Linked DNA regions of Drosophila melanogaster. The protein of the gene in region 1 interacts with the protein of each later gene in a pairwise test. Each region holds a gene or a part of one and is shown in the gene's direction. Other genes may lie near its edges. The genes, in order: CG4577 and Pgant3.

What was found.
Region 2: the proteins of CG4577 (region 1) and Pgant3 interact in a two-hybrid assay, tested with the Drosophila melanogaster proteins (one large-scale study listed by BioGRID).

What each region holds. Positions count from the first base shown.
Region 1 is NT_033779.5:1,129,214-1,146,188, forward strand, and holds CG4577 (uncharacterized protein), read left to right. Parts: upstream 1-5,479; 5' UTR 5,480-5,645; coding exon 5,646-5,868; intron 5,869-9,407; coding exon 9,408-9,854; intron 9,855-9,910; coding exon 9,911-10,172; intron 10,173-10,269; coding exon 10,270-10,550; intron 10,551-10,615; coding exon 10,616-10,743; 3' UTR 10,744-11,943; downstream 11,944-16,975. Other genes in the region: TBC1D23 (TBC1 domain family member 23), read left to right, coding at 276-292, 606-1,968, 2,051-2,740; iris, read right to left, coding at 3,265-4,860; MFS3 (major facilitator superfamily transporter 3), read left to right, coding at 14,158-14,197, 16,231-16,975.
Region 2 is NT_033778.4:7,053,403-7,063,530, reverse strand, and holds Pgant3 (polypeptide N-Acetylgalactosaminyltransferase 3), read left to right. Parts: upstream 1-1,798; 5' UTR 1,799-2,174; coding exon 2,175-2,308; intron 2,309-2,614; coding exon 2,615-2,715; intron 2,716-3,067; coding exon 3,068-3,248; intron 3,249-3,307; coding exon 3,308-3,474; intron 3,475-3,895; coding exon 3,896-5,154; intron 5,155-5,211; coding exon 5,212-5,373; 3' UTR 5,374-5,877; downstream 5,878-10,128. Other genes in the region: Tsp42Eq (tetraspanin 42Eq), read left to right, coding at 33-92, 163-336, 414-566, 750-947, 1,003-1,077; Tsp42Ep (tetraspanin 42Ep), read left to right, coding at 5,996-6,055, 6,115-6,288, 6,358-6,717, 6,785-6,943; Tsp42Eo (tetraspanin 42Eo), read right to left, coding at 7,024-7,095, 7,279-7,476, 7,539-7,694, 7,756-7,929, 8,595-8,654; Tsp42En (tetraspanin 42En), read right to left, coding at 9,612-9,683, 9,810-10,004, 10,075-10,128. UniProt on the Drosophila melanogaster protein: Catalyzes the initial reaction in O-linked oligosaccharide biosynthesis, the transfer of an N-acetyl-D-galactosamine residue to a serine or threonine residue on the protein receptor.

The sequences.
Region 1 (16,975 bases):
ATTACAAATATCTTAATACAATTGTATTGTTAGTTCATATGCACACTGCCATCTCTAACGTGCGCCGTGGCAGACGTAAGCACCTCCCATCGCTATAAACGTAACCATCATAACGTAACCAAAATTCGATCAAAATAAATTTGGAATATCACAAAAATCATTATTCGCACCTGGAACAGAAAGAAAATGCACCAGCCTGGCCTTCTGCAGCTGAATAGATTGCACTAAGGCAGCATTTCGAATCCGAAACGTAGGAACTAGCCCACAGCGAAATCATGGAGGAGAATATGTGGTAAATAATAAACATTGGGTTGGGGCTACGTCAACAACTAAGATTAGTCAGAGAGTCTAGAGATTCAGCTCCAGCACCTCATTTTCTTTGGCATCCATCGCCTTTGGCTTTCTCGAACAGACCACCATTTGTTTCGCTGATTGAGTCAGCAGCTTGGTGCTGGGCCAGCGGGACGCGGAGCACCTGGGGGTGTGGGTGCTCCGCCTTATCAGCAGCTGGTTATTTAGACACGTTGACGTCCCCTTCACCCGTAGCATGAGCAGAACAAGTACCAAGCAACTGATTGTGATGGACATCCCTCTCTTGTATGCAGGATCATTGAGCTGGAGTCGGCACTGCTGGACGACTGCACTGTCAACGACATCTACGGCATATGCCAGGGCAAGGCTCTGCCGGAGGCACTGCGTCCGGACGTGTGGCAAGTGTGCCTGGATGTGCGCCACAAATCGGATCAAATGTCGCTCTTCAACGAGATCTACGACCTGCCCTTCCAAAGCCAACTGCGCGAGGATTGCCAGCGGCACGTCGATCGCATGGGCAACGATGAGGAGGACAAGGTCTCGGTGGTATCCGACCTCGAGTCCATCATCACCTTCTACTGCAAGAACAGAAACCTTCAGTATGAGCCGGACAACGGATGGATTGAATTGCTGCTCCCGCTGTTCGCCCTGAAGCTGAATCGCTCCGACACATTCAACCTGTTCGAGTCCATACGAGACACGTACATACCCAAGGGTTGCCGGCCCAAGGGCAATGTCTTTCATGTCTTCCGACTGCTCCTGCTTTACCACGATCCGGAGCTGTGCACGCTGCTGGACACCAAGAAGATCACGCCCGACTTGTACTCGCTGACCTGGTTCCAGTCGCTTTTCGCCTCCTGCAGCAGCCTGTCAGTGATCATTGCCATGTGGGACCTGTACTTTCAGAACGCCGATCCCTTCATGGTCTTCTTCCTGGCGCTAATAATCTTGATCAACGGCAGGGAGCAGATCCTGCAGATGAGGAGCTCGTCCAAGGAGGAGATCATCAAGTTCCTGAGCCTTATGCCGTGCGCCCTGGAGTTCGACGACGTCCCCGACTTTTGCTCCCTGGCCCAGTACTACGCGCTCAAGACACCAACTTCCTTCAAGACGGACTATCTGAAGGCGCTGTACGGCAAGCAGAATGATACACCGCGCAGCCAGGAGGAGGCAAACAAGGTATCACAGGCCCTGTGCCTGCCCGTCTCCGTTTACGAGCTGGTAGAGAACTCGGCCACAGAGTTTCCTGTGCCGGATGCAGTGCGTTTCTTTCTCGTTGACTGCCGCCCGGCCGAGCAATACAACGCCGGCCACCTGTCCACGGCATTCCATCTGGACTGCAACCTCATGCTCCAGGAACCTGTCGCCTTTGCCACCGCCGTCCAGGGCCTCCTGACCGCCCAGCGGCAGGCCATCGAGGCCAACTCGAACGCCGGCGGCGAGCATCTGTGCTTCATGGGCAGCGGTCGCGTCGAAGAGGACCAGTACACACACATGGTGGTGGCCTCGTTCCTGCAGAAGAACACCCACTACGTGTCGCTGCTGACCGGTGGCTACGCCTCCATCCACGACTACTTCGGCGATCAAATGGCCGATTGCCTGGAGGATCACAATGCGCGCAAGTGCCTCGTCTGCCAGCAGCACAACGCGCAGCAGGTAAGACTTCGATAACTCAGGAAATGTACAATACTTTGAATCGAATTAGTATACTTATAATTTCTCAATTCCGCTCCTGCAGACTAAATCAGCGCCGCTTAAGACTTCGACGCCATCCTCTACAGACCTATTCAGCAAGTTCTCCGCCGCCATGAAGTCAAAGTCTGCCGAGGTCAAGGGCAAACTACTAGACATTATCGTGAATCCCAGTGCAAATGGCGGAGCCACGGCTAGCGGCACCAATGGTGTGCCATCGGCGCCGGTGCAAGAGCGCCATGTTAGTGCAAAGGAGCGGAACGGCAAGCGCTACCGCAATGTGGCACCTGTGTTCAGCATCGACGATGAGAACGAGGATGCCTTGGACGGGGCGGGGGAGCGGGATGACGCACCGCTGACCAGCGACGGCAAGGAGATCGTGAATCTGAACCAGTACTTCAAGACGGCGGACATCATCAACGCCTTCAAGTGCCAGGAGGTGCACATGAGCGGCTACATGTACGACAGTCATTTGATCATCACGCCCGGGCAACTGGTGGTGCTGCGGGAACTGGGACGCGGCCAGGCGCAGATAATGGTGCGTCGCCCGCTGGCGAGCATCGTGAAGATCACGGCCAAGAAGCGACACCGCGACCTCATCACGTTCAAGTACGGATTCCCCGATGGCGATGGTCTGCTCATAACCGACATGGACCGCTTCCTCATACCAAATGCGGCCGAAGTTACGGCACTGATTTCAAGGCTCATCGTGCAGGTGCTTGACGACGCCAAGTAGGATAAACCGGACAACCGCCGCATGCTCTTCTTGTTTCCGCCTTTCCGCATCAAGCTTTATTTCATGAACGGCCACTGATACAAAAATCAGAGACACAAAGTGCAATGCGCCGCTGCGAGCGGTGTAATAGTTTGTAATTGGCATTGTTTTCCTTGTATTAGCTGAAATAGTATAGTTCTTATTGTAAACGAAGCGCTGGCTGCAATTGTAACATAGTGCACTCGGTGCAGAGACCGGATTTGAAGAAAATAGTCGAACGTAGTCCCAGATCACATGGCCATCCCGAGCATGCCACGCCCCCGATCCCAATTTTCTAAATTTCTAAGTGCGAATAAGGAACCCTTACCGAAGCCCTGAGACTTACAACGTGTACATGATGAGAGTAACTAATATTTATTGCAATCAAACCAAACAAATAAAACTGTATTATAATCGACACAAAAAATTGTTAAAAAATCATAGCTCTCTTTGAAATTTCATCGGAACTTAACAGATGCACCACGCAGCCGCATCTTCTTTTTTTTTTAGATTTCATGTTTTTCCAGCAGCGGAAGATTGCAGGTTGTGGTGCGATTCTGTGGATCCTGGAGACCATTGACTTCGTTGACAAGATTTTGAGCCTGCGCAAGTTGTTTGCTCCGATGGGTGCGATATAACCAGGTCGCCGAAACAAGTAAGGCGACCAGCAATATGGCTGCGCACACAGCTACTACTACTACGACTACCATTGGGTAATCTCGGACTGCTTCCAGCTTTTTCTGATTCAGCTCCAGTTTGCCCACGATCGCCAGGAGTTGATTAAATGATTCCAAGGTCACGGATTCCTGGGAAGATTTTGGTTCCTTCTGCAGCGTTGCGTAACCTGCTTTCGAAGGAACTCTTTCCCGGACTTCTCCACGGAGGGCGACAGCTGGACTGCGCACGGCACAGTCGCTTTGAATGCTCAGGATTCCACTGCCATTCAATTGGAGCTCCTGCCTCTCACCGGAGCACACTCCTATTAAAGTTAGCTCATTGGTAAGGGCCACCATCCAGGAGTTTGGTGCCACCATCTCTGTCCACAGACTCTTCTCCTTCACTTGACGCAAGGTGCAGACTTCGGAAGACTGGTTCCGTATGGCCGCCAGGGAGCAGGCAAAACTGTCATCCCCAGTCCCGTAGATAATGCGGTTGCGCCTGCAGATGAACCTTTCTTCGCCCAACTTGATGCAGTCGTCCAAGCTCTGAAGCGGAAAATACCTGTCCATATGATCGTTGATGCCCAGATAAGGTGTTTCGGTGTCCACCAGTTGGATTACGCCATTGTTTAACCGTGGAATGGGCGTCAATCGGTAGATATTAAACTTCTCCGCATCGAGCAAGGGCACTGTGATTTGGAACTCCACGTGGTTGCCCCGCTGCCGAGGAACTACGGAGGCGAGAAGGTAAATATTCCGGATTGTATATCGGCCATCCAGATCTCCCAGAATTGGCGGCATCTTCGCTTGCAGCTGTTTCATTGAAAGGACAAGAGGACTAAGCTTTCCGTGGTGGGCAGAGATTATGGCTTCAGTTATGGCATTCTGGGCACTTTTTAGTCTGCTGCCCATAAGGTATAGATACGGCTTCATCATAATCAGGTTTTCAGGTTCATAAGCCTCGTGAAAGGGTTCTTGAAGTATCACATTTATAACATTAATGGAGCTGTCAATGCAGGATGTTCCCATCCCAAGCTCGATGGACACGTCGTCATCTCCCAAAGAAAGTCGTCCGGCCCTAAAGTCCAACGCTTTCTCCAAGTCAATTAGTCCATCGTGAAGAATACTATCCGCAAACTTGGTAATGTCCAGAATTTCTGGACAAAGATTCCTTTGGATATCGCACACATCGACCAAAGCCTTGTAGACACCATTGAACGCACGTATTGCCGTATAAAGCGACTCCAAGTTGAAGCTGGCACATAACTTCCAATCTCTGGAGGCTAGCGATGCCTGACCGCTGTACTCCACGAAGGTGCCCAGACTGTTGTTGAATCCCCGCATCGCCATCGGACCTCCGATCGCCTCCCGATCAACTGGGCTTCCATGGGAGAGCGCTATCAGCGAGGGGGCGAGGATGAATACCAAACTAATCGCTTTCATCTTTCGCTTGTAGAGGTGATCGTTGCCCAGAGTTCCGCGCTAAACTGAAGGTGAGCTCCTGAGAATCGGGTAGCAAGCGGTAGTGCATGTCCATATGTATGTTCAATTGCTGATATAGCAAAATGATCGGATCATTGTGCGCAATATAAATTTTTAAATATTTGCAAGTGAGGCAATTAGCCAGAATTAGCTTTCAAATAAATATAATATAAATATATAATATACAAATATAACATAAGCCATCCATATTTATTATACATTTTACACTAGTCAAGTGCATTGAGTACTAATATAGTGAATTTACATAACAACCAGTGTCATAGCGGCATAACCAGCACCACAGAGGCCCACCGATGCGACCTGGCAGTAACGCAGCTCTTTGCAGATCCGGCGCCGGCGCAGTAGAGGATTGGCTCGCTGCCTCGCCAGGCAAGTACGTAAGCAGGCTCCTCCGAGCTCCGCGGTCTTTATCAATGAGAGTGACGTAGGTTGTGTGCAGACCGGACGGGATTCGGTCGGCGAGTGGAGGAGTTGGGTGGCACTTTAATGTGGTCTGCAAGCCAACGGCCAACGGCACGGAATCGGGGCAATACGTTAAAAACTGTTGCACTGCGTCGCTGGGACGTCAGTTCATTCAGAACAGTCGAAGTGCGCAGACCACTGGGATCCAAACACCGGCAGAAACCAGGCCAGGAGTCGAAGTCGACCTCCCACCTCCAGCCAGATCCGAATCCTATTTGGGACACCACCAGCTAGAGCCAAGTCAAGTGCCGTTTGCCGTAAACATGCCACGCATCTCGTTGCCCGGCAGCAGCCTGCTGGTAGTCCTGGCACTGATCCTGTGCCTCAGCCTTCCAATCCGGGCGGTGCCCACCTCCGTGCTCGCCCAAGACACGGAGCTCTCCACCAGCGCCAACCACAAGCTCCAGCAGCAGCAGCAACAGCAGCAGCAGCATCACCAGCAGCAGCAGCTCCAGCAGCAGCAGCAGCAGCAACAGCCGGCCACAGGTAAGTGCCAAAGTTCAGTACAGGTGGAGCAGCAGCTCCGCCCACGCCCACTCTTAAGGCTAAAGGTCACTGGGAAAATGCGAGTTTTTGAAAAATGCCCGGCCCGAGAAGGCTGTGCCTCCAGCCTCCAGCTCGTCGTCTGCGTGGGTTGGCTGGCTGCTGGCTTTTGAGGGTCGGGCATCCGCTCGAGTGGCTCCATCTCGGAGCTCATCTCGTTTAGCATATTCCATTTCCCATTTACCGCTCGTCGTTCGCTGTTTCTGCCAGGAAATTGCGTAGGTGTTTTGCGCGAGGACGACAGCTGTCGTCCTTTTGAATGCCGCGCTCCATGAGCGATTTATAAATTTCCATCCTGCGGTTGTTTTTCTTGCACTGGCTTAGTGAATCATTACTGTGCCTGCACAGCGAGAAAACTACCAATGACTTTTCTGAGTAAGTGGGTAGCTATATGCACTCTTGAAAGAAAACTATCAAATAAAATAAGTTTTAAGTCTTTAAATTAAAGTTTCAACAAAAAAATGATTATATAAATTATATTAAATTATATACATATATATATAATAATCAAATTTCTGCCAAAATATTCACGAAACATATATACATATATCAAGCTGCGGCTTAAAGCACAATGTTGCCTTTTCTTTCAACAACTCTAAAGAAACATATGGTATTCTGTATATACAGCTCCACGATTTCTCCCAGTGCAGTTACACTGTTCATATATGTAGCTCAGCGCTCACCAACACAAGCACACGGGAACCTACAGCGCAGTTAAACATCGCGTAGGCGTTCGCCACACAAAATGGCGGCCAGCCTCCTTTGTGAGTGTGTGTGAGTACGTGTGTGCGTGTATGTGAGTGGGGGGGCCTCCATGCTGTTAAAGTGTGCGTACGTGCGCGCGATTTCATTTCTATTTTTAGAAAGCGAGTTAGGCGAAAGTTTTCAGCCCCTTTTGCGCCCCTTCCGCTCCTCCTGCACTTTCTGCTCGCCTGGCGCCGTTCGCCTAGCATCGCCTTACGCCATCGCCATCGCCATTCACCACATCTTGGGTGGCAAGTGCCACCCATTGCCGCCCCCACTTTCACCGCAGCATTGAGCCCTTAAGTAGGCAGCCAAGCTCAAGCTGTTAAGCCTTTCCGATCCATTCCGAGTATAAATACGCGTCCGTGTGTGCAACACGTTCGTTAGCGCTCCAAACCGCAGCAGCAACTAAGGCCAAAAGTAGCGGGGCTTTGGTCAGATGTCAGTTGCCAAAAGCCAGCGGCAACCACATCAAAATGTAAAGGGCAGGTGCCCAGAAAAGGGGAAGGAAGCATGTGATTGGGGTGGACAAGTTCAAATTTAAATTTTAACATTTCGCTGCATACTTTCAAATCTTTCAATGTTCTAATGTAAGTTTATAGATACAAAATTTGCCTTTGGGTAAGAAACAAATCTCTAGGGATTAGATGTTTTCGAGAGCGATAAGCTCTCCATCGCACATTTTTGTAGCATACTTCCAGGCAGCGCCACTAACAGATTTTTGCCCCAGCACAGTTCGCTCTAAATAGATTTATTATGCCCCAATGTGGGCGGAATGGCGCCCCCGCCCCTTTCTACGTGTTTACAGAGCCACATATGGCAACCTAATGACAAAGGCAAACAGGCTGTCGCCGCCAAGTGTCCAGCTGTCGGTAGTGCAAAGTGAAAACAGGGTCCACCCCACGGATTAATCCACGCAGCAGCAGTCAAGTGGGCGCATTAAATATTTATGAGAGCAGTGCCTGCTGACCCCTCGCCTTTTCCTTCCTTCGCCTGGCGATGAAGTAGTCAGGAGGGAAGGGTGAGCACTCCAGTTGGCACACCCAATCCCGAAACCACAGGCTCCCAGCGCATTTTCCTGCGCTTGACAAATTTTTCCATATGCTGCGGCTATTAAGTTATTTCTGTGCGGGGCCGAAAGAAACGCCCAAGGACTTGGCCGTGGCGTTAATTGTGTTCATGTTCGTGTCCACATTCCCATGTTCATGTCGCGCTGTCTGTGGTGGCCCGACTTTTCGAACAGCTGCTGGCCAAGAGCCACCCACCAGCCCCCAATCTCTGCGCATGTGTGTGTGTGTGTGTGTGTGTGGGGAGCAAACAACTTGTTGATACTTTTGCAGTTCAGTGAACAGCCTGGTAGAGTAGAGACCCAGGACGACGTCAGCCAACGTCAGAGCCTGCCAGCTTTCTACTCATTTATTTATTCAAGTACCCCACCCGAGGAGCACCCATCCGGGCTGATGGACATCCGTGAGCAGGACATTTGCCACACATAAATATAATTGAGGCGGTGGCGTGGGCGTCATGGAGGCGAAACATGAGCATTGTGGGCATTAAATGACTGCCAATACGGGGAAGCGTTTAGCCAGCGGGTTTCAGGAATTGTCGTCTGTCCCAAGGACTCTGGGGAATCGCAAACTGGGTTACGGGCGCTCCATAAAAGCGTATCCACATTCAGAGAATGTGGAATTTTACAGCTCGACTAGAGTTGCACCAGGGGACATACTGTTTCTCGGAAGGAACTTGTGTTTCCACGCAACATGTTAGTCATCACTTTGAAAGTAATCATATCAAAATAGCTTTAAGGTATCAAAATAATTCGTTTTTAGTTACGATAGTGGTGTCTAAAACTAAATAGTCACCTGCAAAGTAAGTTAAGTACACACTTCGAAACATTCATTTCCCATTCGATGCGAACCGCTAGTCATTTTATGGGAGCCCATTTCCTGATAGCCGGATATTATACCACCTGGCCCTTTCAATTGGCACACCCTAATAACACATTAATCATTGGGGTCGTATAAATCATGGCTATGCGGGTATCTACTCCATTCCACTCTATATGCGATATCTCAGTTCCAATAATCATGGAGATAAGCTATAGATACTGGTATAGATATTCGCAGAAACCTGCGAAATACCTCATACAAATCCACTGCGCAGGGGAGTTGAACGAGTTTGGCTGGTCCATCTGAACTCGGGATTGGATGGATGGGGCAGTTGAAATAACCGCATGCCCATGAGGAGGACTCATGTCAGGTGCTAACTGAATCCTAATTGGCGGCGGCCAGCGCTCAATTAAAGATATCAACCGATCCGAGATATTAAAGCCAATTCAGCCGTCCAATTAGCGAACCAACTGTTGCGCAAAGACCCTTTTTTTTCGATTGGATGCCAGTGGGGCGGCAATGCGATTAGGATTAATAAGGTCAGTCCTCCTCCTCTGGGTATTACATCGGGGATTAAGTGGACATAAAGCCGGCTGTCAGGGCGCTAAAAGCAATTAGCCCAGACCGAGAAATATGCTCGGGCGTATAAAACAATTATGGTACTCGTTCTGCGGACGGCGGCTAATTGGTTTTGCGGTCACTTCTCGGCTGTGGGGATGTTGGGAATTTATTGAATCAGCCCCGGGTAAATGGTAAATGGAAAGTGGGAAATGGCAAGTTGGAAATGGAAAATTCGAGTAGCCCGGACAGCAGCAGCCGGCGTTACCCATTCCCCATCTCGTTCACCAGCCAAACGCTCCGAGGAGGCGAGTGCCGTGCCCACGGCGGACAAGAAGTCGAGTCCGGAAATTGTGCCCGCTTCCTTTAGCAACGCTCCGTCGGCCCGAAACAGCCCAGTTCCGGTCTCCAGCCAGCAGCAGGAGCAGCAGCAGGTGCCGTCCGGAGTCTACGCCCTGCCCTCCAACGAGGAGATCCTGGCCGCCGTAGCGGCCGCCGCCCAGAACAGCCAACAGCAGTTGCAGGAGGAGCCCTCCGCCCTGGAGGAGGCGGTGGCCAGCTCCACGATGCGCAAGCGGGGCATCAATTACGAGTACAATCCGTACTCCGTCGCCTCCAGCGACTACGGCAGCGATGTGCCCAGTGGCGTTTGGTCCGACGACTACGAGGCCGCCGTTCCTGTCAGCTATGGCGAGCGGGATCTCCAGGAGATCGATGACTACGTGCCAGAGCGAAGAGGTGCGTCCAAGAGCGTGGCACATCCATTGCTAACTAACAAAAAACTTAAATTCCAGTGAGTAGCTCGAGTGCGCGAAACAAGGCCTACGACAATTTGCAGAATCTCCTGAACGCCGAGGCCTATCTGGAGAGCATTCCCCTCTCGGTGCCGCTGACCTATGCCAATCGGAACTACAACGTGGATGAGCGCAACAAGCGGGGTATCTACTACAACGTGGGCACTCCCGGCGGCAATGGGGCGAGCAGCCTGGGCAGTGGAAGTGGCTACAACGACGAGGGTATCAACCTCAACAAATATCGACGATTCAACGACATGCGGTGAGTTAGTAAAGCAACACGGCGTATGAGTGATATTTTACATACATAACAACTATTACTAAGGGGTAACCTTTTGTATTCTTTGCTCCAATCCCAGACTTAAACGCGACACCCAGCTCAATCCCGCCGACATGCTGGCCCTGGTTGCCCTGGTGGAGGCCGGAGAACGGGCGCGCAAGGAGAGCGATGCTGAGAGCTCCGGACCGGTGCCCATGATACCCTCCGATGACCTGGACTACGCGCCCGCCGGCAGCTGGTTCGACGTGCCCGTACAGGCGGACTACTACGGCGCCGGAGTGCCGCTGGACAACCAGAACCAGGCGATGCCCAAGTACGAGTACGTGCCGCGTCAGCACAAGTACAGCGGAGTCAATAGCCGTAAGTCCCGATTGGGTTGGCAGCAAGAGTCGGAGGTTCGTGTTCTATAACTTTCAATTATCCAGCAGGATTCGGCTCCTCGAAGCAGCGCTACATGGTGGCCAAGAAGAAGCGCTCGGTGAACCAGAGCCAATTCATGAACGAACCGGTGGCGGAGCGCGGATCCGGCTACAATGGCGAGAAGTACTTCTAAGGATCCCACGCGGAGATAGTCTACGTAGTACTTAATGATAGCCACAGGCCCCACGAAGAGTATTTCTCGTTTTTTTGAGCATTGAACATATTGAACATAATCCAAGAAACCAAAATCCAAATTCAATTTCTAATTCAATTATGATAAAGAGCTAGTGTCAAGGTCAACTCGTGTGCAATTTTTGTGTAGAATTTCACTTTCAAAAAACCCAATGGCGAGAATTAAACTATTGTTGCATGCAATGTGGTGCGTCAGGAGCATAATCAATCAGTGTCTAGGATTTTGTCCCACGGAATCCGCACCGAACTAAACCGAATCTATATCTACGCCACCTAATCCCTGTAAGAAATCGGTGTCTATGTACAACTACTGCAATCTGAAATCCAGCGGAACCGCAACTTGTATCTGTATCTACTTATCGAACTAGAGGCTTCCCGACTAGTACAAAACGAGAGAAGAACGTCAACTATGAATATGATTATATATAAAAATATGAATACATCTATACATGCATATATCAATCCTAATCGAGCTCAGAAGCGACAAAAGCTCCACTAACCGCTTTAATTTAATCTAAACTTATACTAACTAAAGCTAAAGCCAAAGCCAAGTATTTTGAATGCCATCACATTCCGAACTACACTTTTTATGTAACCCCGCCGACTTGGGGACAAACGATCTGACAATTGATGAGAATTTTAATCGTATTTAGCGAGTATCGCAGCTAATATGTTGGTAAATTATATATATATATATATAAATATACGTATACAATATGCAAACAATTTGTGGATAAATTTGTTAAGAAATGGCTCAGGGCATAAATATTTTAAATATTCTATGCCGACGACGAAGAGGCGTATTTTTAATTTGAATAAAATTGTCTGACTGTTTTCGGTAATAATCAAATATACATACATATGTGTACTATGAATATGGTAAAATAAATTATATTATACAGACTAAAATAAAATAGCGTATATATATATGTGTGTGTGTATACAATACAGATTATATATAACTATATATATGAACACTCAAGTAACCTTAATATTATATACTTTCCCTCTGAATATTTGGCCTTTGATTTACGCCTTAAGTTCTTTGCGTGAACTTAGTTTGAAGATACATTTATTTACAATCAACTGATTTACGATTAATAAATACGTCTTTGGTTTGAAAACCAATCAAAATTGGATGAACTGGGAGTTTTTTGACCTGAAAACCAATTGGCTGTGCTCAATGGCAGAAAATTCAATGAAAGTGGGTTGTTTTTTCCCACCCATATCGAATCTTAGAAATGTGTCAATTCAAAGCTTACATCAAGTTACAATTAGGGGAATTTGTATATTCAGCTGCGCAGTAACCGCCGCTCAATGAAAAAGTCATAAAAATCATTTTCCACTTCCACGCTCGGTTGCCAGCCGCCAACGAAAGTTTGAAAGGAAAGTTAACTAATTTGAAATTGGGAGACAATTCAATGAAGACCAATTAACAACAGCTAGACTTCTGGGGCCTCTCGAGCGAAGTGTGTGCCAAAAATTAAATAAAAACCAATTGGCCTTCGCACACGCGTTGACATCCATCGCCATTCGGATGGGTTTCATCATCAATGTTCCATGCGAAGCCACATTAAAGTGCTGCATGTCCGGTGAATGAGTGGAAAACTAGATAACCGTGAAGCAGCGCCATTGTGGCCACTGCAAATGGGGAAGCATGCTCTGCTCCGGACGCCAGATGAGATCCAACTTTGTCCAAACTTAGCTCGAAATGGCCATAAACAATTGAATAGAATGGCCGTAAACAGTAAGCCAAATAAACAAAACATTGGGCTCCAGATACACAAATGCGTTTGACACAAGGGGCTCTGTTTTTTTTTTTTATATTATTATTCTAATGACTACGGCATGCACATCATAGCAGTTATCAATGTGCTGCAATCTAACCTGCATTGAATGCAAGTTGCATGGACACTTTATACTAAATTCAGACTAAGTTACAAAGTGTTATGCCTTTTGTATGCCAAATTGTTGCCATATGGCGGGGAATCTAAATAAGCATTAATATGTATGGAGTGTGTGCAGGAGCATTGGAGCCTGAAGATTCTGGCAGGGATTCGAGGTGGCCATTTGCATATCTCATCAGCAAATGACCAGGAAGATAAACAAGCTGGGCAACGAGGCCAGGAGCAGTCTTTAATGAATACGTTTAAAGTTAATTTATTATGAATATGAATATAACTAATGTTAACTGCTCACGGGAATGGCAAGCATTTGTTTTAGAGATTCCCCCACGGGCAGCACGATTTCGCACCTCTCATCATGAGATCAATCTGCTGCAGATGTTTTGAGTTTGGCGTTAATTAGGCAGCCAAATAGGGAATTCACTTCGATTCATTCCAAAAACTACACAGATGCGGCAACATTTTGTAAATATATTTATATATTTGATACATTTGATGGGCCATTGTGTATCGGGATCATCTCCCGAAATTTATACTAATTTCATGCACGCGTTTTGCATGTTTAATAACCGCTTTATATGTCCACCTGTAGACGGAATTATATCGTGTATATCTGACTAAGGCCAGAAGATTATATAATGCATTCAAATGACTTGCAGGTAGAAAGTAACTTCATATTTAAAGTACTTCATTTCAAAGAGCCCCAAAAACCGATCAGGATTGAATTAAAATTCGGATGAGATGGCTCATAAGTTAGCCGTTTGAATGGCTGTTTCTCCTCCATTCGAGAGTCTTTCGAAATTGGCTCAAACACGCAAACATGCCATTGATATGCTGGCCAAGTCAAATTTATGCGTGGGCGCATTCGAAAAAGCCAACTTGCCCAGGACAGCAACCTCAGCGGGGACACGAACCCAAGGTATCTGAGGCATCTACGATGCAATTGAATGCGAGGCACATGAAATTGAACGACGGGTGTGGCGCGTGTTGAACCAGGCATTTGACTTTGTGGTCTGGATGGGGGAATATCATCATCGGGTTTCGGGCTTGTGACAAACCATTTCCGAACCCCCAGAAACGAAGCCACCAAGATAAAGATACGCGCCAAACGACAGGCAGGCCAAATTACTCGGCGTTTCGGCAGCGGAGAACAAGATCCCAAAACTCGGGACCCACCACCACCACAAGTACATACACACGCACACCGACGCGAAACGAGAATTTCGTTTTTTTTTTTTTGGGAACGACGCACAAAATCAAAGAGTATTCCAGCTAGCCGCTTCAGTTGGTGAGCAACTTTCGAGGCAATCGCACGTGGACTTCGATTTCGGATTCGTTTCGTTTCGGTTCGGTTTGGTTTCGTCGCCTGAGAATATATCTCAATCTGTTTAAAGAAGATATTAGCATTCGGCAGCCGCAGTAAGGCCTATATATCCCCGGAAGCCCCAAAGATGACGGACGAAGTGCCCGCCAAAGGCAGCATATTGGGCAGTAAGTTGTGGCTTGGACATTCGAAGCATCTGTTTCGAGATTGCACCACTGGAGTGCATCATGCATCATGCGGCGGTGGTGCAGCAGTGCAACAAGTGGGTGGGCTGAAGGCACTCTGGGGATACAAGATACAAGTTTGACCTCCAAAAGGTCGTTCGTGTGCGTGAGTTCCAGAAATCTTCCTTGTTCCCCCAGTGCGTACGTGTGTGTGTGTGCCACATCCTTTAGGTTTTTATGTTGCTGTGGCTTTTTTTAGACGCCGCCCACGCCACGCGGCATATTTGATTTGTTTTTGGCGTTTATATGCCCGGGTACTAATGTCCGGACAAGGTCAAATGGAAGTCATAGATATAAACAATATTGGCAGGCGAAAATATGACCAATTTGTATGCGTATCCCAAACAAACGCGACATTCTTGAAATTCGTCTACCTATCCCAACAAAAACGGCGAAAGTTTGCCAAGCTTTTGAATCGGGTAAATAATAGTGTTTACTTTAAACAATCCACGCGAAAATCTCACTCGGCGTTTTCAAATAAGTTTCTCAAAGGGGTTACTTTAAAAGTTGATTTTAAAATTTCCAAATTCCACAATACTAAAGTTACAAGAAAGTACATAATTCCACAAAGTTAACTATTAACAAATGACATTTCTTTACTCTGCAATGTTTATATTGCATCATATTTGTGAAATATTGTTTATCGTATTTCATGAATTATTTATTGTTTATTTGAAAATATTATTGTATGACTATCACAGTGATGAACTGAATCATTTCTTTCCCACAAAGATCTCAAAGGAATACATTAAGAATGCTATGAATTATAAACAGGAATATTTCTTATGACCATGTTAAATGAAAGCGTTGTTAGGAGCGATCTTATTTTAGCCCTATATAGATTAACCCAAGCACTTGAGATTTACCACCACCACGCACCACCTAATCAAACAATCAAATTAGTCTGGAAGACTTGGAGAACTTATGCATATAGAACATCTGAAATGTATTGGTGCTCTGCAGCATTTAACTCAGAGCAAATAAAGATTAAGAAAGCGAAGAAAGTACCAACGAAGTAGGGATACTCTTACATAAATCCATTAATAAGGATGGTATATAATGTCCTTCGAAATCAAATCATCTTTTCTGCCACCAAATGATAGCTTAGCTAACCTAGCTAGTTTATGGAATTAGTTAATTATTAGAATATATCAAACGAAAGAGTATATCTTAAGGCATTGAGGCAGTAATTACACAATATCGAAGGCACAATTAGCAGATATAAATAATCGGTTTGCCAGCTCGAAAGTCTTATTGTGACAGCCATGAAAGTGAAATTGAAAACACAGACGACGAATTTATACCCCTCGTTATCGCAAAGCAACGCACTCATAATTGCTGGACATGATTGCCTCCCCCAACCGATTTCAAAAGGGGGTGGACTATATCAATGCGCGTGCGGCGGCTCACTCTACTGACCCTACCCAACTGCCGGTAATCAGTGGCTGCTCCATGTGGAACTCGTTGCTCACCAGGTGATTGGGTTCGGAGCACCCGAGTGGTGTCATGTCCCTATAAATACCTTAATGGTAATGTGTGTAAGGACTATCCCCACTGTCTTTAGATGTTTGCTCTTCCTTCCTTCAATTAAAAAAACAAACGAGAACGTTGTCGTAACGACTATTTGATACCCCTTACTCAGATAGCGATTCAATAACACGGACAAGCAGACGGACAGGGTCAGTTTGTTTCGACTAGTGTTTCCGATCAAGCCCATGTCACACATACACACGTTTCACACGAGTCTAGTATACCCTTCAGCACTTCAAGTAAGGGGTACAATTAATTCCTTAACTTGCTAAATGGAGTCATTTGGCGCACCATGTCCGATGTGAATATCATTGGCATTAATCAAATTGACTTGCCAAGCAAACCAACCGAATGACTTATATATCGAGTTGCATTTTCCATCCATCCAAAATGGACGAATCAAGTAAAAATAAAGATTTACAAAGACCTTACCATCTACTTTCCAGAACTCGTGCCCGCCCGCTATGTGCTGGCCCTCCTGGGGTCCATCGGCATGGCCATTGTGTACGGCCTGAAGGTGAATCTCAGCGTGGCCATGGTGGCCATGGTGAACCACACAGCCATTAAGGCCCACGGAGACGGCGGTGGACATGGGGGACACGGCAGCGTCATCCTTTCGAACGCCTCCCAAGTGTCCCTGGTGGAGGAATGCAACCCGCCGGGTGGTGCCTCCAATGTGACGGCTAAGGTGGAGGACGGTCCCTTCGACTGGAGCGAGCCCCTGCAGGGAACCCTGCTGAGCTGCTACTTCTGGGGCTATTTGGTCTCGCAGATTCCGCTGGCACACGTCGCCGAGAACTTCTCCGCCAAGTGGGTGATGCTCTTCTCGGTGGCCATCAACGTCGTGTGCACGCTGCTAACGCCCGTCTTTACTGAATTGCATTACGGTGGCCTGATTCTGATGCGAGTGCTTGAGGGCGTCGGCGGAGGAGCCTCCTTCCCGGCCATGCACGTGATGATCGCCTCCTGGGCCCCTCCCACGGAGCGCATGGTCATGTCCACCATCATCTACGTGGGCACATCTGCGGGTACGGCTCTTTCCATCCTCCTGGCCGGCGTGTGCTCCGCCCAATGGGGCTGGGAGTCGGTCTTCTATGTCATGGGCGCACTTAGCTGCATCTGGATGTTGCTGTGGGTCATTCTGGTCCAGGACAACCCCAACAAGCAGCGTTTCATCAGTCTGGAGGAGCG
Region 2 (10,128 bases), on another chromosome or scaffold:
ACCGACATCAAGACACCTGAAAATCCACCAAAATGAGCTGCGGCACGAAGGCATTGAAGGTGTCCTCCTTCGTTTTGGACTTTCTGTGCTGTGTGAGTTGTTATCACCAAATCGCCAACTGATAGTATATTGTTATATGCCTCCTCTCTCTATCACTCATAGGTTCTGGCGGCACTGACCATCGCGGCTTGCTCCTATGCCCTGATTGCTTTTAGCCACAGCGTAGCCATCCGGGTGCCCAGCATCCTGGGCATCGTCCTGGGCGGCCTGCTGTTCTTCAGCACGATCTTCGGCTGCATTGCTGCCCTGCGGGAGAGTATTCGCATGACCTGGATCGTGAGTAGCGCTCTATCTAGTACCTAGTGGCCAGGTGACCTCCAATATTAACTCGACCGTCTTGCTTCGCCCAAAAGTATGCCGCAATACTGCTGGCCCTGGTTTTCAGTCAGATCACCGTCATCTTGGCCCAACCCATCAACTATGAGCTGCTGGCCAACGAGACCATTTACGACGCCTGGCAGGGACAACTTTACCACTCGGACAGAATGTCCTACTTTGAGATCAAGGTGAGCTATGTAGGGATCCTTGGAACCTTCTCCATATATAGCAGACATGAGTTCCATTTTCACTTTCTCGGAAAAGGCATTAGGAAAATGGTATCAGTTGGCTTTTTTTTTGAAATTTTATCGAAATCATTTCGCAAGCTTGTTATCTTTGTTTAACCAAGTACTAAACGGCTTTTCTTTTAGTATCACTGCTGCGGACAGACGGGGCCCGCAAACTATCCGGATAGTGGCCTGGTGATTCCGCAAAGCTGCTACTTCAACCAGAACGCCACGGTGACTACGGATCTCTATACGGTTGGGTGTAACCATCAGTTGGCAGCGGCCTTCGTCAAGGGAACTCGCTGGGAGAAGATCACGGATTGGTCCGTTGTGGGTGTGGAGGTAACTGAATCCGATCACTTGCGATCCTTCAACTCATATTCCAAATGCTCCTCAGATACTCACTGTCATCATCGCCGGACTCCTGGCTATAACCTTACAGAATGCCGAGCGCCGCCGTCTTTACCGATAAAAGCTGGCCTTAAGTTTCTACCAAAAGTATTAGAACTGTACGAATGTGAAAGTGTTCCTAATTATATGAGGGAGTAGTTGCCAAAACATGAATACATTAAATTGGTAACGTTAATATATTTCAACCGTATTTAAATTGCTCAATACAAAATTTCAGAATGTATGCAAGCACTTTTATAAAATTAGTCACACTTAAACCGATTCGTGGTACATTTGGAATGTTGTGTCGCTTTCGACGTCTGGGTCTAAGCTGTTTTTATGTGCAATACTATGTATAAGAAAAGTATGATTATATATTTAACAAGTCTATGAAGCTTATTAAGAAAATAAACAATTTAATGCTTAGTATATTTCAAGTTGCAGTTAGGTTAAATTTGCTTAACAGACTTAAATTTGCATAAGATTTAAAATCGATATCAATGCGCGCCGATACATTTCTTTTTCACCACAGCTATCGAGCCAGTGAAAACAGCTGCTTGCTCACAAGTGCTGCTACGGTGCTGCTAAAATATTTTAAAATTAAACACACGACTCACATCTCATTTCATTTGTACACAAAGAAAAATATCGCAGAACAAGTCTATGTTAAGCGTTTAAATAATGTGCATATAATTAAAACATGTTTTACCTACCATACCGAAGCACCTTATTGAGGCGAACAAACTCTTGATCCATCTGGAAAATAGCCAGACTTACAGCGCTTCTGGTTTCGAACTACTGGTTCCGTGAACTGTTGTCAAAAGTAATGAAATGCTGGAGAAAGCAGTAGAATGATAAGTTTAGGCCGTATTTGCACAATTACTGAGTAACTAGTGACAGCCGAACAAGCGCCATGTATTCATAAGCACCTGCCGCGCACCTGCCAATTCGAATTTAAAGCGGCCCCGGAGCAGAAGCGACGCATTTCTTCGCCGAGCGTCCGCAGAGTCGTCGGATCGGATCGGATCGGTTTGGATTGGATTGGTGACTAAAACAGTTGGACAACAACAGCGGCTTGATTAGTTGGCAGTAAACAGAGCTACCGAACGCACCGGTCATTCACTCCGCACCGTTTTGACCAGAAGCAGTTCCAGTATTGGTAGCCAATAAGCCACAGCAATGGGTCTCCGGTTCCAGCAGCTGAAGAAGCTCTGGCTGCTCTACCTTTTCCTGCTCTTCTTCGCGTTCTTCATGTTCGCCATCAGCATCAACCTGTACGTGGCCAGCATCCAGGGCGGGGACGCGGAGATGCGGTGAGTAGTTGGCCCGGTAATTAACAATGGGCCCATTAGGACGCGCCGCTCGGATTGCACAACTTCCCCTGGGGCCCAAATGGGTTGCAAAATGCAAGTGTTCCAGTCGAGTGCCTCGCCTCCGCGTTTTTTAGCTTCGATTGCCGAGGCACTTTGCATTCGATTTGGGTCTTGGGTCTCTGTTTGTTTTGACATCGCTTCGCGTGATTCGATGGGCCATTGTAAATGCTAAGTCTTAATATCGCTCCATTGTCACATCTTGGCTCATTTGGCTATTGTGGATCACTATGCCGATTTCCCGCACAGTCATCCGAAACCGCCGCCCAAGCGCCGCTCCCTCTGGCCGCACAAAAACATCGTGGCCCACTACATCGGCAAGGGAGACATCTTTGGCAACATGACAGCAGGTGAGTGAGATGGTTCCACCTAATCATCATCAGTTAAGATTGGTCATTGGGGTAATAAAACAGTTTATTTGTCTTTTATCATTCCCAGTTACCCTTAGTCATCAATAATAGACAGTGCCATTAAATGGCATTTCATTTTACCCTCTGCACAATTGGTTTAGGTGCTCGGGAAATATTTAAGACTTCTTTAATTACCTTAGTATCATTTTACTTTCGACGCATTAGGGAAGAACTGACGAACTTTGTTTTGAAACTACAACCTTAGTTGCACCATCGTTGATGGAAAATACCTAAAGAGAGTTTCCCTCAAATGACACAACATCAAAATGCATTAATCCCCACTCGCTTGCAGATGATTACAACATCAACCTGTTCCAGCCCATCAACGGAGAAGGTGCCGATGGGCGACCAGTTGTGGTGCCGCCTCGCGATCGCTTTCGCATGCAGCGCTTTTTCCGGCTAAACAGCTTCAACCTGCTGGCCAGCGACCGCATCCCACTGAACCGCACCCTCAAGGACTACCGCACACCTGAGCAAGTATAAGCCTTAGCTTACTGAGAACCTTTTCTAATGCATTTCTTCTCCTGCGCAGATGCCGCGACAAGAAGTACGCCAGCGGTCTACCCAGCACGTCGGTTATAATTGTTTTCCACAACGAGGCCTGGTCCGTGCTCCTGCGAACCATCACCAGCGTCATCAACCGGTCGCCGCGCCACCTGCTTAAGGAAATTATCCTGGTGGACGATGCCAGCGATCGCTGTAAGTCTGCATAGTATAATCAACGTATATTCCGAGAATTCCATCTGTGTGCAATAGTATTGTCGACCTTGGGCGAAGCTTCTTAATTTTGTATTACCTAAAGGACATTTGGTTCTATTGCCTGCGTACTATTCCCGCGAATGGTTTCAGTCTACTCCACCAAACGAAACTCCTAAGAATGCAATATATTTAATTTGTAAAACATAGTTTTGGGATGATTCACAATATTTGTTTCTTATCTTGAAAACGGTCAGTGTATAAGTTTACGTTGATTCATTAAAAGTAAATTCTTTGTCTAACATGCTAGAAAGTTAAAACTACGAAGTAATAAAAGAATCGTAACTCTTGGAATTTACATATAAATGACATACATTATGCGTATCTGTATATAAAACTTTCCTAATCAAATGTTCTTCCAAAGCATATTTAAAACGTCAACTGGAGAGCTATGTGAAAGTGCTGGCGGTACCCACGAGGATCTTTCGCATGAAGAAGCGAAGTGGCTTAGTGCCTGCCCGCCTTTTGGGAGCCGAAAATGCTCGCGGCGATGTGCTGACCTTCCTCGACGCCCACTGCGAGTGCTCGCGGGGATGGCTGGAACCACTTCTTTCCCGCATTAAGGAATCACGCAAGGTGGTAATCTGCCCGGTAATCGACATAATATCCGATGACAACTTTAGCTACACAAAAACCTTCGAGAACCACTGGGGCGCTTTCAACTGGCAGCTGAGCTTCCGTTGGTTCTCCTCGGATCGTAAGCGGCAGACAGCGGGCAACAGCTCCAAGGATAGCACTGACCCGATTGCCACTCCCGGAATGGCCGGCGGATTGTTTGCTATCGATCGCAAGTACTTTTACGAAATGGGATCCTACGACAGCAACATGCGCGTTTGGGGCGGCGAGAATGTGGAAATGTCCTTCCGCATTTGGCAGTGCGGCGGTCGTGTGGAGATCAGTCCCTGCTCGCACGTGGGTCACGTGTTCCGCAGCAGCACGCCCTACACCTTCCCCGGCGGCATGAGCGAGGTTCTCACGGATAATTTGGCCAGGGCCGCCACCGTCTGGATGGACGATTGGCAGTACTTTATAATGCTGTACACCTCTGGACTGACGCTGGGAGCCAAGGACAAGGTGAATGTTACGGAGCGTGTGGCGCTCAGGGAGAGGCTCCAGTGCAAACCGTTCTCCTGGTATCTGGAGAACATATGGCCAGAGCACTTCTTTCCAGCTCCCGACCGCTTTTTCGGCAAGATCATATGGCTGGACGGGGAGACAGAATGTGCCCAGGCCTACAGCAAGCACATGAAGAACCTACCAGGTCGTGCTTTGTCACGAGAGTGGAAGCGAGCGTTCGAGGAAATCGACAGCAAGGCGGAGGAGCTGATGGCGCTGATCGATCTGGAGCGGGACAAGTGCCTTCGCCCCCTCAAAGAGGATGTGCCGCGCTCATCATTGTCTGCAGTAACCGTAGGCGATTGCACATCTCACGCCCAGTCGATGGATATGTTTGTAATAACTCCGAAGGGCCAGATCATGACTAACGACAACGTCTGCCTGACCTATCGACAGCAAAAGCTGGGTGTGATCAAGATGCTAAAGAACCGCAACGCCACCACTTCGAATGTAATGCTGGCGCAGTGCGCTTCCGACTCGAGTCAGTTGTGGACCTACGACATGGATGTAAGTGTATCACAGCTACGATAATTGCATTAGTGCTAAAAATGTATTCCTCCACAGACTCAGCAAATATCTCATAGGGACACAAAGCTCTGCCTTACTCTGAAAGCGGCGACTAACTCGCGTCTCCAAAAGGTCGAGAAGGTTGTGCTCAGTATGGAATGCGACTTCAAAGACATCACACAGAAGTGGGGCTTCATACCACTGCCATGGCGCATGTAGAGAGTAGGATGTCATGCCGGTGCCAGGACATTTAATCCAATAACCCTGCCAGCAACTTTTTAACGCAATGTGATATTTATTGAAATTGTTTTAACGAAATTCACTCGTTAATTTGTTTATGTGAACAGTAACCAACCCACAAGCACACGAACTTCAGACACCTGCAGTCCTGTTGTCTAACAAAGCCTGATTTCACTGTCGCAATTTAATATTTAACTGCGCGTAAACATGAGCAGCAGCAACATATGTGTGACAGTGGAACCAGTCTTTACCAAACAATCGTACACCGATACAGACCCACTTGAATTGTTTTTAAAACACACTAACCGAATGCGTGGGAGAGCTTTTCTCCCCCCACGCATTGCGACTCTATCAATCTAGATAGCATAGTGGTATGCTATATCTACGTCATATTTATTAAGAAGAGTTAGAAAATTTTTAGCTGTACTTACTAACCTCGACCTTAATTTTTATATCACTTGAATAAAGCAATCGAATGTAGAGAAAGCTTCGTTGCAATCTGTTTCTCTTTCCCTGACTTCTTATCGCTGGCCCCTGGGAAAGGTCGCAATGCACTCGCTTTAAATTTGGCGCATCTGCCGCAGATTACACCACTCTCGCGATGAACGGCTGCTATAACACAATAAAGTACACGGGCCTGCTCTCAAATCTGCTCTATATGGTAAGTCGTACTCTTGCAACTTACTCTGGGTAAATTGTTTATAATCGTTGGCGTTGCAGCTACTCGGCATAGGAGTGATGTCTGGAGCAGGACTAGGACTGCAGATGGCGGAGCCCAATACGCCAGAGCACACTTATTTCGTGAAGAGCTTGGTCTTGGGTGGCTCCATTTGCATGATCGTGATGTTCGGATGCTATGGCATGGTCGCCAACTTGCTTTGTGTCAATCTGATTGTAAGCGAAAGGAAAGAGCGAATCCTGAATATGGATTACTATCCATAACTAACTGAACTCTCCCCACAGTTCACCATGTTCATACTGATCGCTCTGGCAGCGGAGTACCTTCAGCTGCACCACTATCACAGTCCGTCCCTCAGGAGCCCGGGTGGCGCCTGGCAGCAACTGGAATTAGCTTGGCATGGCCTGGACAGAGACCCCGAGCTCATGCACCAGTACGAGGCCTCCCAGCACTGCTGCGGCTACAATGGTGCCGACGATTACAAGCGCCTGCATCTGCTGGTGCCGGCGAGTTGTTATCAGGCCGCTGTTAATGACACCGCCCAGCAGATCTATCCAAGCGGCTGCCTCGAGACGTTGAACCGCAGCCAGCGGTACATCCAGCACCGCGATAAGCTCTACATGTGGGCCATCGTTGGCCTTGAGGTGGGAAATTGACTTGCGGCTGAAGTGCAGTTTCTCGAATAATCATCCATCTCTTCACTCGCCGCAGATCTTCATACTGCTGCAAACTGTGGCGCTGAGTGTGCTGCTCTTTCGACTACGACAGCGGCAGCGCATCGCACGAAGACAGGTGCCGCCAGGTGTGCGGCGGGAACCGCGCTCCAACCATGTGTCCGCCTCTCGTGCGCACCTACTGAACGACGCCTGAGCTACCATTAAGATCTTATGAAAACTTTGGTTTATTATTTATCCAAGTGGCAAGTGCTTATCTATAAATGTCATTCGTGGTTAGTAGGTGTAGCGACGAGTCTTGTTGGTCAGCTGGCAGCACAAGGTGATACCCAAGATGATGCCTACGACCTGTAATAAAAGAAACAAAGTGTTGCATTAAACATTTAATGCCTGTCAGTTCTCAATCATTTTGTTCGACAAGTGCTACTAGAGACTTGCAAATTCGAGGTTAATAGCTTTCCATTTTCAAATGTACATATATCATAGCTACATTTTGCTAATAAGTCTTGCAGGTCTGAAAGCTTTGCCCACCTCGTAGCCAATAAGTCCGCAGTGGACCCATTTCTCGTATCGGTAGATCTGCAGATAAGCCCGCTTCACGGCAGCCATGCAGCCCTCCCCATACGGATACAAGGCGTGAATGCCGTCCTTGGTGTGGAAACAGCTGCGAGGCACCTTCATGTTGAGGCTCGTGTAGTCGGAGAATCCCTTGTCGCCACAGCACTCGTACTGGAAAAGGGGAAAGAGGGCATTTAAGGATCGTAGCATGATCGCTCTGGGGAAGGACCCACCTCCTGCTGCAAGTCTTGCATGGCGCCGTGATGGACCAGCTCCTTCATCCAGAGATCCATCACGTACACCTCAGTGGCGTCCAGCTGTTTGGTCTCATTGTAGTGGGACACCTTCCAGATGTGCGAGGCTATCAGAGCCAGAAGCAGAATCAAGTTCTAAAAGCCGAGGCATTGGAAGTGCTCATCAATCGACAAACCATCTGTTCTGGCTACTTACCACCACCATCACCTTGATGGAACCGAATATGGCACCCAGGCAACCGACCAGTCCGGCCAAGATCAGAGCACCTGCCATTCCCAGTTGGACGAACTTCTCTGTGTGCTCCGCAGAGCCCTCGTTGAACTTATCCAGCTCATAGACGCCGGCCAGGGCCGCAAGGACGCCGACGATCTGGATCGGTATTAAAATTATGAATTATGCCTGCGCACATTAAGCGTTTGTTAATGGCCCATGAAATGGGCAAACAAAATCTTCAGAGACAAACTTTCGGCTCGTGGGATACGTCATCGGGTAGCGAGAACAACCAAAATAAAAACAAACCGGGCGCAAAAATAAATTAAATTACTTTGGGCTTTATTTTTAAATGGCACATACACAGTTTCCTTTCTTGTTGCTGTCGCTTCGATTGTGCCGAAAATGCGACTGGCCAACAAAAGTGGGCAGAACGAGAGCCGCCAAGTGACATCTTGTCTGGTGGAAATGGAAATTTTGAATGAGATTTGTTTGCTGCCAAATTGGCCAGCTACTCGGCCCGTCCAGTAAGAAATTACAAGCGGCAATGAAAAATGGACAAGAATGAAAGACACTTTATGATCGTGCTTTGACAGACTGCCAGCGGCGAGTTAATTTTGAATCGTGATTTCCATCAGCAAGTGCTTTTATTACTCATACGCAGTGTGTGACTCAAGAACAGTTGCACTGAAATTATCAAGGAACAGTGACAATGAATAAATGCTTGGCCTGTGGCTTGCGTTTCCCAGTGGCGATCATGGAAAGTTTATGTCGGCTAATGATGCGTAATACTAACGCGTTTTCCCACAAGATATCCTCCTTACCAACGTCAGCGTACTGAAGACAACCGAGGTCCATTGTAGGCACACGCGAACCGTGGGCATTTTTTACTTGCGATGCAGTTTTTTCTGTTTCTTTATTTTTGATCAATCTTATTCAGCGCTCATCCGAGCAGCGACTCCAGGCAGCGGACGCGTTTCCCGGGAAAATTCGCTTTCCACTCTCGACCGTCTGTGCGTGGCGGTGACCGAACCGTTAGTGCCGTCGGACATCGGTCGGGGCCAAAATAAAGCAAGACCCGAAAAAGCGCTAAGAAGCTGCGAACTGTTTACAAATCCGCCGAGTGGCCGTCCGTGTCCGCATCCGTGTCCGTCTCGGTCTCCGTTTCGGCGTTTCGTGTGCCGGTCGTTACTCAGGAGACCGGCGTTCACCAGACCTCAATGGCACCCCGCCCCATCCGCCCGACACTGAGAGAAACACATTATAATTACGCCTATAAAAATTTAAGATTTATTGTATAGATGCCTTATAACTTTGAAATAAGTTTAAATAACTGACCGAAATTTACCCAGTGATTGTACTAGATATTTTTATTTCAATAGAAATGGGTAACTTAACTTAACAACAGGTCAAGAATCTTCTAGCAGATCGGGTGAAATTATCAGTATATATATGTTACTGTCGTATAGCATATCTCCTCGTACTCCCATTAGCTGTGGAAGGGGTATCTCATAGTCGAAAAATCGAATGCCTAGAGCCTATTATAGTTATTTTTCTTTTAAAACGGAATTCTTTTCATATGTAGAAGATATTCTTTGAGTGCACCCAATGTTTTCGTATATTTTTATACGCATCTTTATAGGCAACATACATCTACTTAGCAGGCCCGCCGAAATTCCGCATATAGTGGGCACAAACAACACTTATTGAATATTATGATTTTGGTTTATTTTTTATTCTACGCTTCTGTTGCCTCCAGATCATCTTAAACTGCTATAAAAATCCATAGATATCGGATTATGCGTTGCCAACACCCGATTTCGATGATTCCAAGCGACCTGTTAGAATCTTTCGCGCCGCAATTTATTGCGCACCGTGATGCCCAAGTGGGTTGCGGCTCCCAGGGCGGCGAACTGTGTGGAGAGAACGGAAAATTCGATTAGAGCCCAGCGTCTGAGTGTGGCATCTATTTATGCACCGCCCTTGGCCAGCCAAGCCCTCGGAAATATGTGGCCAAGGCCGGCATGGAATCTACATACCTCCACCAGAAGCAGCAGCCACTTGATGATGAGTCCGATGGCCACGTTGTCCGTGGCATGCGCCTGCACGGCCTGCAGGCAGCCCCCGGAGAAGAGGCTGTACTCGCGCCGCTCCTGATCCTTGTAGCAGCTCAAGGGTATACCCCGTCCCATCAGGATGTAGTCATGGGCGCCCAACTGGCCGCAGCAGGAGTACTGGGAAGGAATGAAATTGGTCGTGATGACCCGCAAATAGCAATATACTAATCCCAAGTATTGGACTTACCTTTTGCTCAAGGAGCGATATGCGCTCCACATTGGTCCTTTGATCAGCCCAGGT